3 linked regions of the Arabidopsis thaliana genome follow. The protein of the gene in region 2 interacts with the protein of the main gene of each other region in a pairwise test. Each region holds a gene or a part of one and is shown on either strand. Other genes may lie near its edges.

Region 1 (3,755 bases), on a different chromosome or scaffold from region 2:
TGCCAAGTGTTTCATCAGGTAAAACAACATACATCAGAAGCTCGAAGCCGGCAAACTCATGGCAAATTGAGCATGCTATTTGCAGCTATATACGCAAATACTAAAATCAAGAAACCATAGTAAAGTACCAAACGTATTAGGGTGAGGCTCTTCCCCACTAGATGAAGAAGCATCAATGCCAAGTGACTGCATTTTCTTTGCCACATTCCTCCAACTCGTTGTCTTTGATTCATGTTTAGGATTCTGGCGAATGTTGAACAGAGACTCCAACACTTTTTGTGGAAGACCAAGCTCATCAATTCCTTGGGTAGTTGCAAAAGGATCTTGAGAACTCATGAGAGCTTTTGCGTAGTCCCTACCATTCAGACAAAGAAAAGAAAAAAAGGCCAGATATTTAGTTTTGACCTCGTCCACAATGTTGAAATTAAGAAATCATAATGTAAGTTTTGGCGGTCTCATGAGTAATTTAGATATCATGTGTTCATGAACTGAATCCTCCACCATGAAATAGTTCGTTTGTTGTTCTTTCATAGAAGAGGATAAGGACTAATTAAAAGATAAGGAGAGGTTGCAGAGAGCTCGTTATCTTGTAACTAACGTGTAAATCAACTCTGATAATTCCAAAATCAGTGAATTGCAATAACAAGATGAAAGCCTAAGAAGCAAATAGAAGTACCTTTGACTATAGTCTCCACCCCAGAAAAGTTCACAATCAGAAGTATCAGTATCAAAAGATGACTCTGCCAGCTGTTAAATAATGTCAGGAGATTGCACTTTATTTTATCGTGTAAGAAAACAAAATAAACAGATCTATGAAGATTAACAAAAAAAACAATCACTTACACTATCGCTGACTCCTATGCCGAAACATTTACCACTCAATGAATCATCAGTTGATGAAGAAGACATGTCAAGCAAGACATTCAAAGCCTAAGAAGAAAACGCTATTAAGCTTTAAAATAAATAGTCGGGCAAGTATCAGCATATTTCAGGAGCTTCCCTGTCAATATACTAAATACTTCCCCATGTAAGTTTGAAGACAATCTCTGCTTACCATGTCGACATCATAGCCACATTGACCTACAAAAAATAGATACTTCCATGTCAATTCATCGAACAATCTAGTCTCTCCTCATAACATTATTACGGCTATATTTCGAATATCGCGGACACATTAAAACGTAATCCTATAACTATTAAGGATCATACTTTTCTACTAACATCTTCTCCCATGGAAAAATTAACTGACTAAGAAGAAGAAATACTCACACAAAACATCTCTAACAACAGCCATGCTAAGCTCGCAATCATCTCCAAGCATTGAACTTAAGAACTGTTCAGCTTTCTCTCTATCCGCAGCTTTTTTCCCGTTCCCACAGAGCTCTTTAGACCGTTCCATCATAGGAAACTCTTTTCGCACAGGGTTTGGCTTCAAGTAATCCTTCGCAATCACAGAAGAAACCATCCCTGTAGCAGCAATAACTCTACTCTGCTTGCTTCCCTTAAACCATCTATCTCTAGTCAAATCTTCGCTACAGCTAGAACTTGACCCTGCCCCATACTCAGAGGTAGACGCTGTTTCCTGACCCGAAGAACCACTCGCCACCGAACTCGTCGACGGATCATCACCGCTTTCCACCAGATCCGATAAAATCTCAGCGGCTTTGTTCAGATCTCCGCCTGCTTCCTTATAAGCAGCCATCGCTTCCTCCATTGAAACCGAGCAAAAGGCTTCCATTAACGATTCGATAAAATTTTTTCCAACGTTTTCTATCTCCCTCTTTCCTTCACCGTCCTTCCTCTCTTCCTCCACATCTTTTTTGTTCCCGTCCGACGTCGTTCCATCACCGGAAGGTTTCGCGGCGCAGGATCGCTTCTTCTTCTTCTTATGCTGGTTCTTCTGCTTCATTATCGTACAATTATAGATGAAATCGTGTCAACGCCGCTTCAATAGAATCTCTTCCGATCTGCAGAAGAAACTTAAACCCAGATTTCCGACGAGAAGCGTCGGAGAGAGGGAAGAGGCGTTTTAACCGTAAATCAGGAGTTAGTAATGGAGATGCCAATATCAGAGGAAATTTTTTGCTCGTCCAGACTTTTGATTGGGAATCGGAATCGCCACGTCAATCCACGCGCCTGATCGTGACCACGTTTTAAATCCACGCGCACGAATCAAACACCGAACACGGTTTCCTCCTGATTGTACATATATTGAACCGGTTCAACTATGCACCAGTCAAAATTAGATCTCCCACGTTGACTTTCGTAATTTTATCTCAGATTTGTTTTTGGTTTTTATATTAACTAGATAATGTGGCAACATGCGAATAGCAAATCATCTTATCCAAAACTTTTAAAACAAAATTTGACATCTTCATTTCGAATTTTGAAACGCGGAGTTGATAAACAAACTTTGCGGGAACGACCAGAAAGAGCGTTTGAAGACGCTGGTCAACGCGTTTTATACATTAAAATTTCCAAAATTCATCAACGTGTTGAAGCAAGCTTACACAACTCAGAAGAGCTTTGTTAGTAAAAAAAAGGTGATTCAAGATTCGTATTCACAGGGACCGATCATCACAAGAGTGACCATTGACCAATAACTTTGGTTGAAGTTGAGAGTCTACGCATGAAAACCGAGCTGGACTTAGACGCTCATGGAACTCGTTGTGATCGTTGTTATGGCTGCTAGATATGTTACACTGCTTCTTCCTTCTCTGTACCTCATCCTTGACTTTCTGCAAATCACAAAGACATATGTCACATAGAAATAACCGATGAAAGGGATGAATCCTTGTGCAGTGCAAACACAAACGCTATAAATCTTCTAATTTGCTTAATGTTCACTTGCACTAGCCAATGGTTCAATTATTATCCAATAACGCCCTCATTTCAACAGATACAACTACAAGAGATACACAGAAACACTCGCAAATACATCAAGAGATCCATACTTTTGAATTCTCTAATTGCTTAACCACATTGTTCGGTGAATGCTTAAACAACACTTTTTCCTGCATCTACCCTATGTTGAATGAAACTGCTCCTAGATTAACAATGAAGTAAAACAAGAAAAGACTCTCTCAGCAGCTGTGACTCGACAGAATCTCAAACAACAACTGTGAAGATTTGACACATTTTCAGATTGGAAACCTATCAACATCAAATACAGATTCTAGTTCACCCGCAAGATATAGGTTTGGCTGTATTGAAAGTAAGCTGCAAGATGTAACAGAGTTCTTTTGCTAGGATTATGTTAAAGACATTTGCATATCACTATCATCGGCTCTAAAAGTTCTTACTACTGTCTATTAGATTTGCAAATCTCTCACAGCATGCAATTCAGTAAGCTAATACGAGACCAAAAAACAAACCTGAAGCATCATCAAATCGAACTTTGGCTGACCAATATGCTCTACAGTGATGGAACCAAAGAGGTTCCCTAACAATGCAGCATCAGGAACAGTCAAACCTTCAACAAGCCCAACAATCAAACCTCCGAGAAAGCTGTCTCCGGCACCGGTAGGATCCACCTGCTTCGCCAAGAACGGAGGAACCGTCATTTCATCATCCTTATGATAAATCCTACACCCTTTTTCACCATTAGTCACCACCACACAACACAAGTGCTTCATTTGTTCAACATCCATGAAAAGAGCTTCGTCTGACGAAGCTTTCAAGAATCCAATTCGATGCAAGATGTGATAAAATCCACTTTCTTTCAAATCAACAAGCTTCACAGCTCCGTCAACAGG
Region 2 (3,755 bases):
GCCTCCAAGCTCTCTCTCTTGATGGATCAGTGTCTGAAGGACGAGTTGTTGGGTGAGTCCTCCTGGCATGGCGGCGCAGATCCTGGTAGTTGCCAGTAAATGAGCAGGATTCTCGGGAGCAACTTCGGTTCTTATGATCAAGATACGTTCTTACTTCTTCTACAACCTTCCATCCTAAAACAGTACCCCGGCATAGAGGACATTTCAAATTTGTGATATCTTCTGACTCAACTTCTTCCTCAACTCTCCTCCTCCTCCTCAGTGATTCGGAATCCCAAGAAGAGCCTCGGTTTCCAGACTCACGGTGAAAACTGCTTCGACTGGCTGTACCATGCTCGTATAGAGATTCGTTATTATGTTCCCTTGAAGCCAAGTTCGCCTCGGGAGTAGGGTCATTTGCGGATTCAGAATGCAATTTCTTAAACCGGTCAAGGCAATTGGAATGTCGGTAACTGGTATCACAGATGTAGGACCTGCAACCTTTGTCATGAGAGCTGCACAGCAGTAGAACAGCATTATGTGGGTGATCCATGCAAACAGGACATGAAACCTCATCCAGTTCTTTGTGAAGAGCATGAACATCTGACTCGGTACTTAATTTTCGCTTTACACCAGCCATCTTGTTAAGCACTGTGTAAGCTACTCACGCATCGAGAAAGTTAGAAACACTGAATGAGGTTTATAAATACTACTTTTTTGCCAAAAAGGGAACATTGCAAGACCAAAACCATCGCTTAATATCAAAACTTCAAAACAATCATGTAGCAGCAGAACCAAAGCAAGAACAAATGAAGATACACCAAAAACAGAAGAAATAGATATCTTATACTGACTCATCATAGTCTAGAAACTAGCACAGAAACTAAGCATACCAGAGGAATCTTAACCATCACAAGAAGCAACGGATTGTTAACTTCACAAAGAGAGATAGTTGGCTGAAAACAAACTTACCGAAAGGGAGCAATCTTATTAGCAGCCTGTTGAAATACTACTTTATTACTGTTTAAGCACTGAACTTTCACTTTAAGATGCAGCTCAAATGAAAACACAGACGAGGCAAACGGTACCAAACAGAAAATCCTCGGAAAGTCTGAATGACACAAAATTCAGTATAAATAACTAAACCACTATTCTCCTTAAGCCTCAGGGTAACCCAAATGTCCTAAAACCTGCACAACAATCCCAAAAGAGAAGTAGGAATCAAACTTAAGAAAATTATCACATATGTTCATATAAACCACTGTCAAGTTAGTAATCATGCAACTAGTGGCATCATCATAATAAACTAAAACCTATAACCAATGACAAGAAATAAAAAATTCAATCTTCCACTACAATATACAAAAGCCGAGATTTAAACAAATCTAAATCATCAGTTCAATACAAAACCATAGAAGAAGACCGTTTTGGCATAAATTAGAAAAAAATTCAACTTTAAAATCCCCAAAGTTCAAAAACAACAACAACCCAAAATCAAAGTTTCAATCACAAGTAACAAGAACATCTGGAGAATCTAATAAAAAAAAATCAGATTCTTATATTCCTCATCATATAATTTCATTTTAACCCTAAACCACCAAATCAAATTTCACAATTTTTCAACGACAATCAGCGGCAAATATATCAATCCTCAAAACCATATCTACCAAATCTCAAAAGGGTTAACAAAACAGAGATCCATCAGAGCAAATGATTTCGATCAAACGTATAACAAAATCAGGTAAAAAAAAAGACGAGAAAATTACAAATTGGAGTATGTTTTCGTCTCCAAGGATTCGATAATCTTTGTTTCTCTCTCGCTTATTTGAGAGATTGGATTGATGAAAGATGCTGAGATTTAGGAATTGGGTTAGGCGAAACAAAGGAGAATCGATGATTTTGATTTCTCCACTTATTTTTATTTTTATGGTTTTTATCACAAAAACATTTGCACTTGCGTCTCTTTAGTTATTATATTATTACCACAAACGACGTCGCTTAATCTGTGTCTCTTTTAGTTATTATATTATTACCAAAAAACGACGTCGTATATTTTCCGTCTGTTTTAGTTACTGTATTATATTATTATCAAACGACGTCGTATATTTTATTTTATGTCTCTTTAGTTATATTATCTAAACGATGTCGTATAATTCTTACGCCGAGATGAGTTATCTTCTGAAGACGTTAACGACGAAGGAAGAGATTGATCGGGTTATCAGAGACACCATTGATGAAGTTCTTGTTTTACGATTTGGTCGTTCCTCCGACGCCGTTTGTCTTCAGCATGATGAAATCGTATTCAATTCGTCTCTCTTTGAATTCGATTTCTCTAATTTCGATTAATCAAAACCCCTAAAGTTTTCGAATTTTTCTTTTCAGCTTGCGAAATCGGTGAGAGATGTTTCGAAATTTGCTAAGGTAGCTTTGGTTGATGTTGATTCAGAGGATGTTCAAGTGTATGTGAAGTATTTTGATATCACGTTGTTTCCTTCGACGATCTTCTTCTTCAATGCGCATCATATGAAATTGGATTCTGGGTAATTAATTAATCTCTTGTTCTAGTAGCTGATTAAAGCCGGTTTAGGTTGGTTTATGTTAATTCCGGTTTGGTTATATTGTAGAACTGCGGATCATACTAAATGGGTTGGTGCATTTCATATAAAACAAGACTTTATTGATGTTGTTGAGGTAACAAGAACAATTCAATTTCATTAATTCCTAAAAGCTTTTAAAGAGTTGTTACTAATTTAAATACTCTGTTTTTGTTATTGTGTTATGTATAGGCTATATATCGAGGAGCAATGAAAGGGAAGATGATTGTTCAATGTCCAATACCGCCAGAGAGGATACCAAAGTACCAGCTCGTGTACAAGGATGTGTAGACACTAAAGTTTGTTGTGCTTACAATGCAAAATCTGTTTCTCATCTTCTGTGTTGGCAATAATATTTACATTTGACATTTTGAGATTTACAGTTATGTTTTTGTACAAAGTTGAAGAATGAGAATAAATATGCAGATTTTTCGATAGATGTGAAAATGTCGATGAACTGACCCGTCGTTTTCTTGATTTCTGAAGTTTTGAAGTCAGGGTTTATTTTCTCTTCTTTTGCTTTTAGTGACGACTTCCATTGACATGGACCGAAGTCGGCATGTTATTTCGGTGAATGGAGGACGAGAATCCGGGTCGACAGACCAGCATTGTTCCATCAGCTTTTTCCATTCCGGAGAACAGCTTTTTGGTATAGGAGGTCGAAGTGTGTTCTTCACGATCCCGCCTTAAAAAGAGGAAATAAATGAGCATAGAGTGGCTTTTGTTTTGAGGTAAGTGAAATTGTGAGTGATGGTTTTTGACTTACCAATGATTGCTCCACAATGCATATCTGCATAGGGTTCCTCTCCGGTTAGAATCTCCCACAGCGAGATTCCATATGAAAAAACATCAACCTGTTCAGATCGAAAACAAATGTGAGTTGTGTTGTTAGTGAAACTAATAGGATAGTGGTTGGATTAGTTTACTTTCTCAGAAACTCGGGTGCTGCTTCCGTTCAAGAGTTCTGGGGCCATCCATGGAAGAGTTCCTCTCACTCCCCCAGATACTAAAGTGTTACGTTTGATTCTAGATAAGCCAAGATCTCCCACCTGTAGAAATCAGAGTTTCATACTTAAGTAGCAGTTTCTCAGGATTCTCAGTCTATAGGGGAAAACGATCTTCATCAATATATATGTTACCTTGCATATAGGCCGTTGTGGATCCCTTAAATTGACAAGTAAG
Region 3 (3,755 bases), on a different chromosome or scaffold from region 2:
TTCGTAACAACGATTTTCTCAAAATCTGGACAAATCCTATCATAATAATTCAACGATAATAGGTTGTCCAAAGGGAACAATGACTTTGTATCATCATCGTCATCGCCTCCGTATCCTCCCGCTCCAGGTAAGTCTTTTCGGCCAGCCGATACCGGCCAAGCCACGAGAACTCCGAGTATGACAACGACTGAGACCACGGCCAACTTCATTATTTTGCTTTCTTGATATCTCTCTCAATTTGATTGGCTTTGATGAATTTGTTTGATGAGAGGTGTGTTGTGTAGTAATTTATATATACAATTGGGTTTGGAAACTAATGTGATGCTTTTACGTGGGAGGCACAACTTTAAGATTTGAATATTCGAGTGACTTGCCTGCATGTCGTATATAATGTTTATGATATATAATTTTTTTTTGATCAAATGATATATATTAATAGTATAATTTTAAAAAACCTTTTTACAAGAGAAAAAATGATATAATGATCTTTACATTACTGAAATCAGGGTTTTGACTTATTTGGATTAGATTAATTGTAAAATTTATTTGTCAACAACTTCCATTGATTTAATTTTGTTTGTTTTTTGGTCGGTTATGTGAGACTATTATTATTTTATTTTGTTGTCTACAATTAACATACGTATATATACACTGGATGATGACATCAAAGTATGTTTTCGAGTAATCCGTAAAGCAAAATGTGATATATCGAAATTAACAAATTTTTTGCACAATCATTAATAATGAATTTGCTCAGATCCTCTAACAAAAATAGCGATATTACCTCTGCACATTTTTTAGCACGGAAAAATAGGTCCATTAGAGACATGTTGACAAAAAAAAAAAAACAATTCACCATAGGCTACGTTTATTGAAAATTGATGCATCTCAACAAGTTTTCAAACGTTCAAATTTTGAGTTTTTTTGAACTATACAACAAATTCTCACTAGTCAAAACCTTAAACTTTTTCATATATTTTTCTAGTTTTTATAATTTATATTTCTTACAAATAATTGTAGAAAACTCAATTTTTGGGTCATGAAAATCGCCAACAGTGTGAAAAGAGGCCAACCAAAAGCAGTTGATTCTCTAGAACTCATTGTTAATAACTGAAATATATGTATGTAAACTAATATTTGCTAGAATTATAAAGGAGAAAAGAGTACAATCGAAGTCGGAACCAACGCCGGCCGGTCGGAAAAATCACAGAAGAAAAATCGTATCAATCGCTTTTTCAATCGTCCATCTTCTTTATCTACCGGATAATACTTCCTAATACTTAAACTTTAAGAAAAAAGATTGTCAGCTAGCTATACGAAGTGTGGAAGAATACATTATCACATATGCCGCAACTAATATAAACGATACCCAGTTACCTGAAATATATATACGAAATATATGTCGTATGTGCCAATATCATAGACACTAAGTCTCGATTAATCGGTCGTTTTACTCTATCGTTGACTAATCGTTAACTCATCGGGATCCGAAAATGATCGGTTGTGAACCTTATTATTGGTTTCAATTATCGTTATTTTGTATAGAGACTATTTTTTCTTAAATCGTTTTATAAGAGTCACAAATCACAACTCGTCCTAAGTTCTCTCTCTATTCGACTAACCCAAGCACGACATTGACCACTATGCCTGGGCCTATTGACCACACTACAATAAAATCGCACACTACATGAAACTTGGGTTGAACATCTAATTTTCTCTAATTAAATTATTTTTACTTTGCTTAAAAGTTTTTGTTCCTGTCAGTTATACAATTTAAAATTGTTTGTTATCTTTAGTTCTTCAATTTGATTTATGATGTGGCATAAAATCCAGAAAGTGCATGGTTCCCACTCGACAACGGCTAAATTCCTCAACGGCTCCTTTTTGACTCTAGCATATTTAGGAGCCTTAATTATTAAATAATTTAATCACCCTTTAATTAGTATAACAATCCAATGTTAATTTTTTCATGCATTACACAATTAAATGCTTTTACCAGTATAATGACATGTGTTATACAATATCTTTCAAATTCAATTTTGTCCAAAATTATAAGTAGCTTTTTTATTTTTCTATAACAATTTATCACTTTTGGCCACATAAGGCTTTTCTTTCTCTGTATTCTTACACCTCATTCTTTATTGCCTTGTTTTACAGACACGTTCCCCAGTTTAAGGGACAAAACAGAGCCATTTTAGGACTCTTAACATTTATAAGTCCTCTTACTAAATAGATAAGCACAAATACTGTTTGGTTCTGTTTTGCTTCTTCATCATCATCGTATCTCCACCGTTTGTTTGTTGTTGTTCTGTTTCTTTAACAGGAAAAAAAAACAGAGAGAAAAATCTGTCTCTTCACTAACACAAATCCATTTTCTCTTCTTCTTGTAGAGAGACAGAGAAAACAGAGTTGTCCTCTAACTTCTTTCGATCGATTCAAAAACTCTAATGATTATTTGATTTTATGTTCGTTTGTTCGATTCTTAGATCGTAAAAAAATGGTGTCTTCTCCTCAGAGATTCGGTTTAATCTTAAGAGATCGTAACCAAAACGCTGGCGTTTTTCAAAAGAATCTGAAATCTCCGGTGAAAGAGGTTTTGAAATCTCATGTCTCCGATGAGAATTTAGTTGATTCTTGGATCGAAACTCACAATAACAAGAACAATCGTGTTCTTGAATCTCCGTTAGAATCGAAGAGAAACGACAATCTTGTGGCTTCTTCTTTGGTTCAGATATGGGAGGCGAGGCTAAACCGATCCAACGGTGGAAACTCGCCGAGTAGCAGTCAATCTACGGCGAGTAGTAGTAGTCGGAGCGATTCAGGAGTTAGTGTTCAAGATTCCGGTCTTTCAGAATCTTCATCAATCGATGGAGATTCTGAAATTGCTGATCGAACGGTGGAGATTGAATCTAGGTCACATGGTTTGGTTTCTGATTCCGGAGAAAGTAAATGGGGACGAGTCGCTGACCTAATTCGGAGGCTTAGCAACGAAGACAAGAAACGAACCGCTGGAGATAATGGCAGCGGCGGTGGCGGTGGACTCGAGATTATCAGAACGCCGAGGCCTTATTGCACTTCGTCGTCATCGGAGAAAAGTAATTTTCCGGTGGTTAGTTTCTCTCCGAAGATACGAGGACGACAAGCGTTTACCGATTTTCTTATGCAAATGGAACGTGATCGCCACCGTGAATTGGATTCGCTTTTTGAACGCAACGCAGTTTCTAGGTTTACTCAACGTGGTCGTCTCCAGGTAAATTATATTTTCACTATTTTGATAAAAATAACTAACATATTTGTGACTTTATTCATAATCCACTAAATGGTTTTTCTAATTACATTATTTAACCAGTCAATGCTAAGGTTAAGGAACCTCAATCGCTGTCTTGTGATTCAAGATAGAAACCGGTCTAACGCAAAAACAACCGGATTAAACCGAATTGAATCAGGCTCTGCTGTTCTGCATTTAAGGTTTTTTCAGATTCTCTGTTTTATGTTTTGAGTTTAGTTCTTAGGGTTTACTTTCTTCAGATTTTCAATCTTTGATTGGCAACGCAGGGAGAAATTTCATGCGAACGTAGTAAACTCTGCGGCTGCAACAGATAAGAGGAAGAATCATCAACGATCCACTGAGATGAACAACAAATCCGTAGAAGAAACAGAAGGAACTACTACCACAAGCACGAGGTTAAAGGATGGTGGTGTTACTCTCGAAGCTTTTTTCGCAGAGCGGTTGAGACCCCGTAACCGCAAGATAG

The links.
Region 1: the proteins of AT3G24740 (region 2) and AT5G58720 interact in a two-hybrid assay, tested with the Arabidopsis thaliana proteins (one large-scale study listed by BioGRID).
Region 3: the proteins of AT3G24740 (region 2) and AT1G30860 interact in a two-hybrid assay, tested with the Arabidopsis thaliana proteins (one large-scale study listed by BioGRID).

Annotation. Positions count from the first base shown.
Region 1 is NC_003076.8:23,721,066-23,724,820, forward strand, and holds the start of AT5G58720 (smr (Small MutS Related) domain-containing protein), read right to left. Parts: upstream 2,111-3,755; 5' UTR 1,910-2,110; coding exon 1,270-1,909; intron 1,081-1,269; coding exon 1,055-1,080; intron 931-1,054; coding exon 844-930; intron 748-843; coding exon 677-747; intron 356-676; coding exon 129-355; intron 1-128. Other genes in the region: Mik (pfkB-like carbohydrate kinase family protein), read right to left, coding at 2,562-2,738, 3,375-3,755.
Region 2 is NC_003074.8:9,029,261-9,033,015, reverse strand, and holds the start of AT3G24740 (cellulose synthase, putative (DUF1644)), read right to left. Parts: upstream 1,939-3,755; 5' UTR 1,746-1,938; intron 1,742-1,745; exon of another isoform or gene 1,170-1,741; 5' UTR 952-1,169; exon of another isoform or gene 640-951; 5' UTR 620-639; coding exon 1-619. Other genes in the region: AT3G24730 (mRNA splicing factor, thioredoxin-like U5 snRNP), read left to right, coding at 2,122-2,277, 2,362-2,519, 2,604-2,670, 2,766-2,864; AT3G24715 (kinase superfamily with octicosapeptide/Phox/Bem1p domain-containing protein), read right to left, coding at 3,068-3,258, 3,340-3,427, 3,500-3,622, 3,713-3,755.
Region 3 is NC_003070.9:10,987,989-10,991,743, reverse strand, and holds the start of AT1G30860 (RING/U-box superfamily protein), read left to right. Parts: upstream 1-2,150; 5' UTR 2,151-2,497; coding exon 2,498-3,250; intron 3,251-3,349; coding exon 3,350-3,468; intron 3,469-3,555; coding exon 3,556-3,755. Other genes in the region: AT1G30870 (Peroxidase superfamily protein), read right to left, coding at 1-209.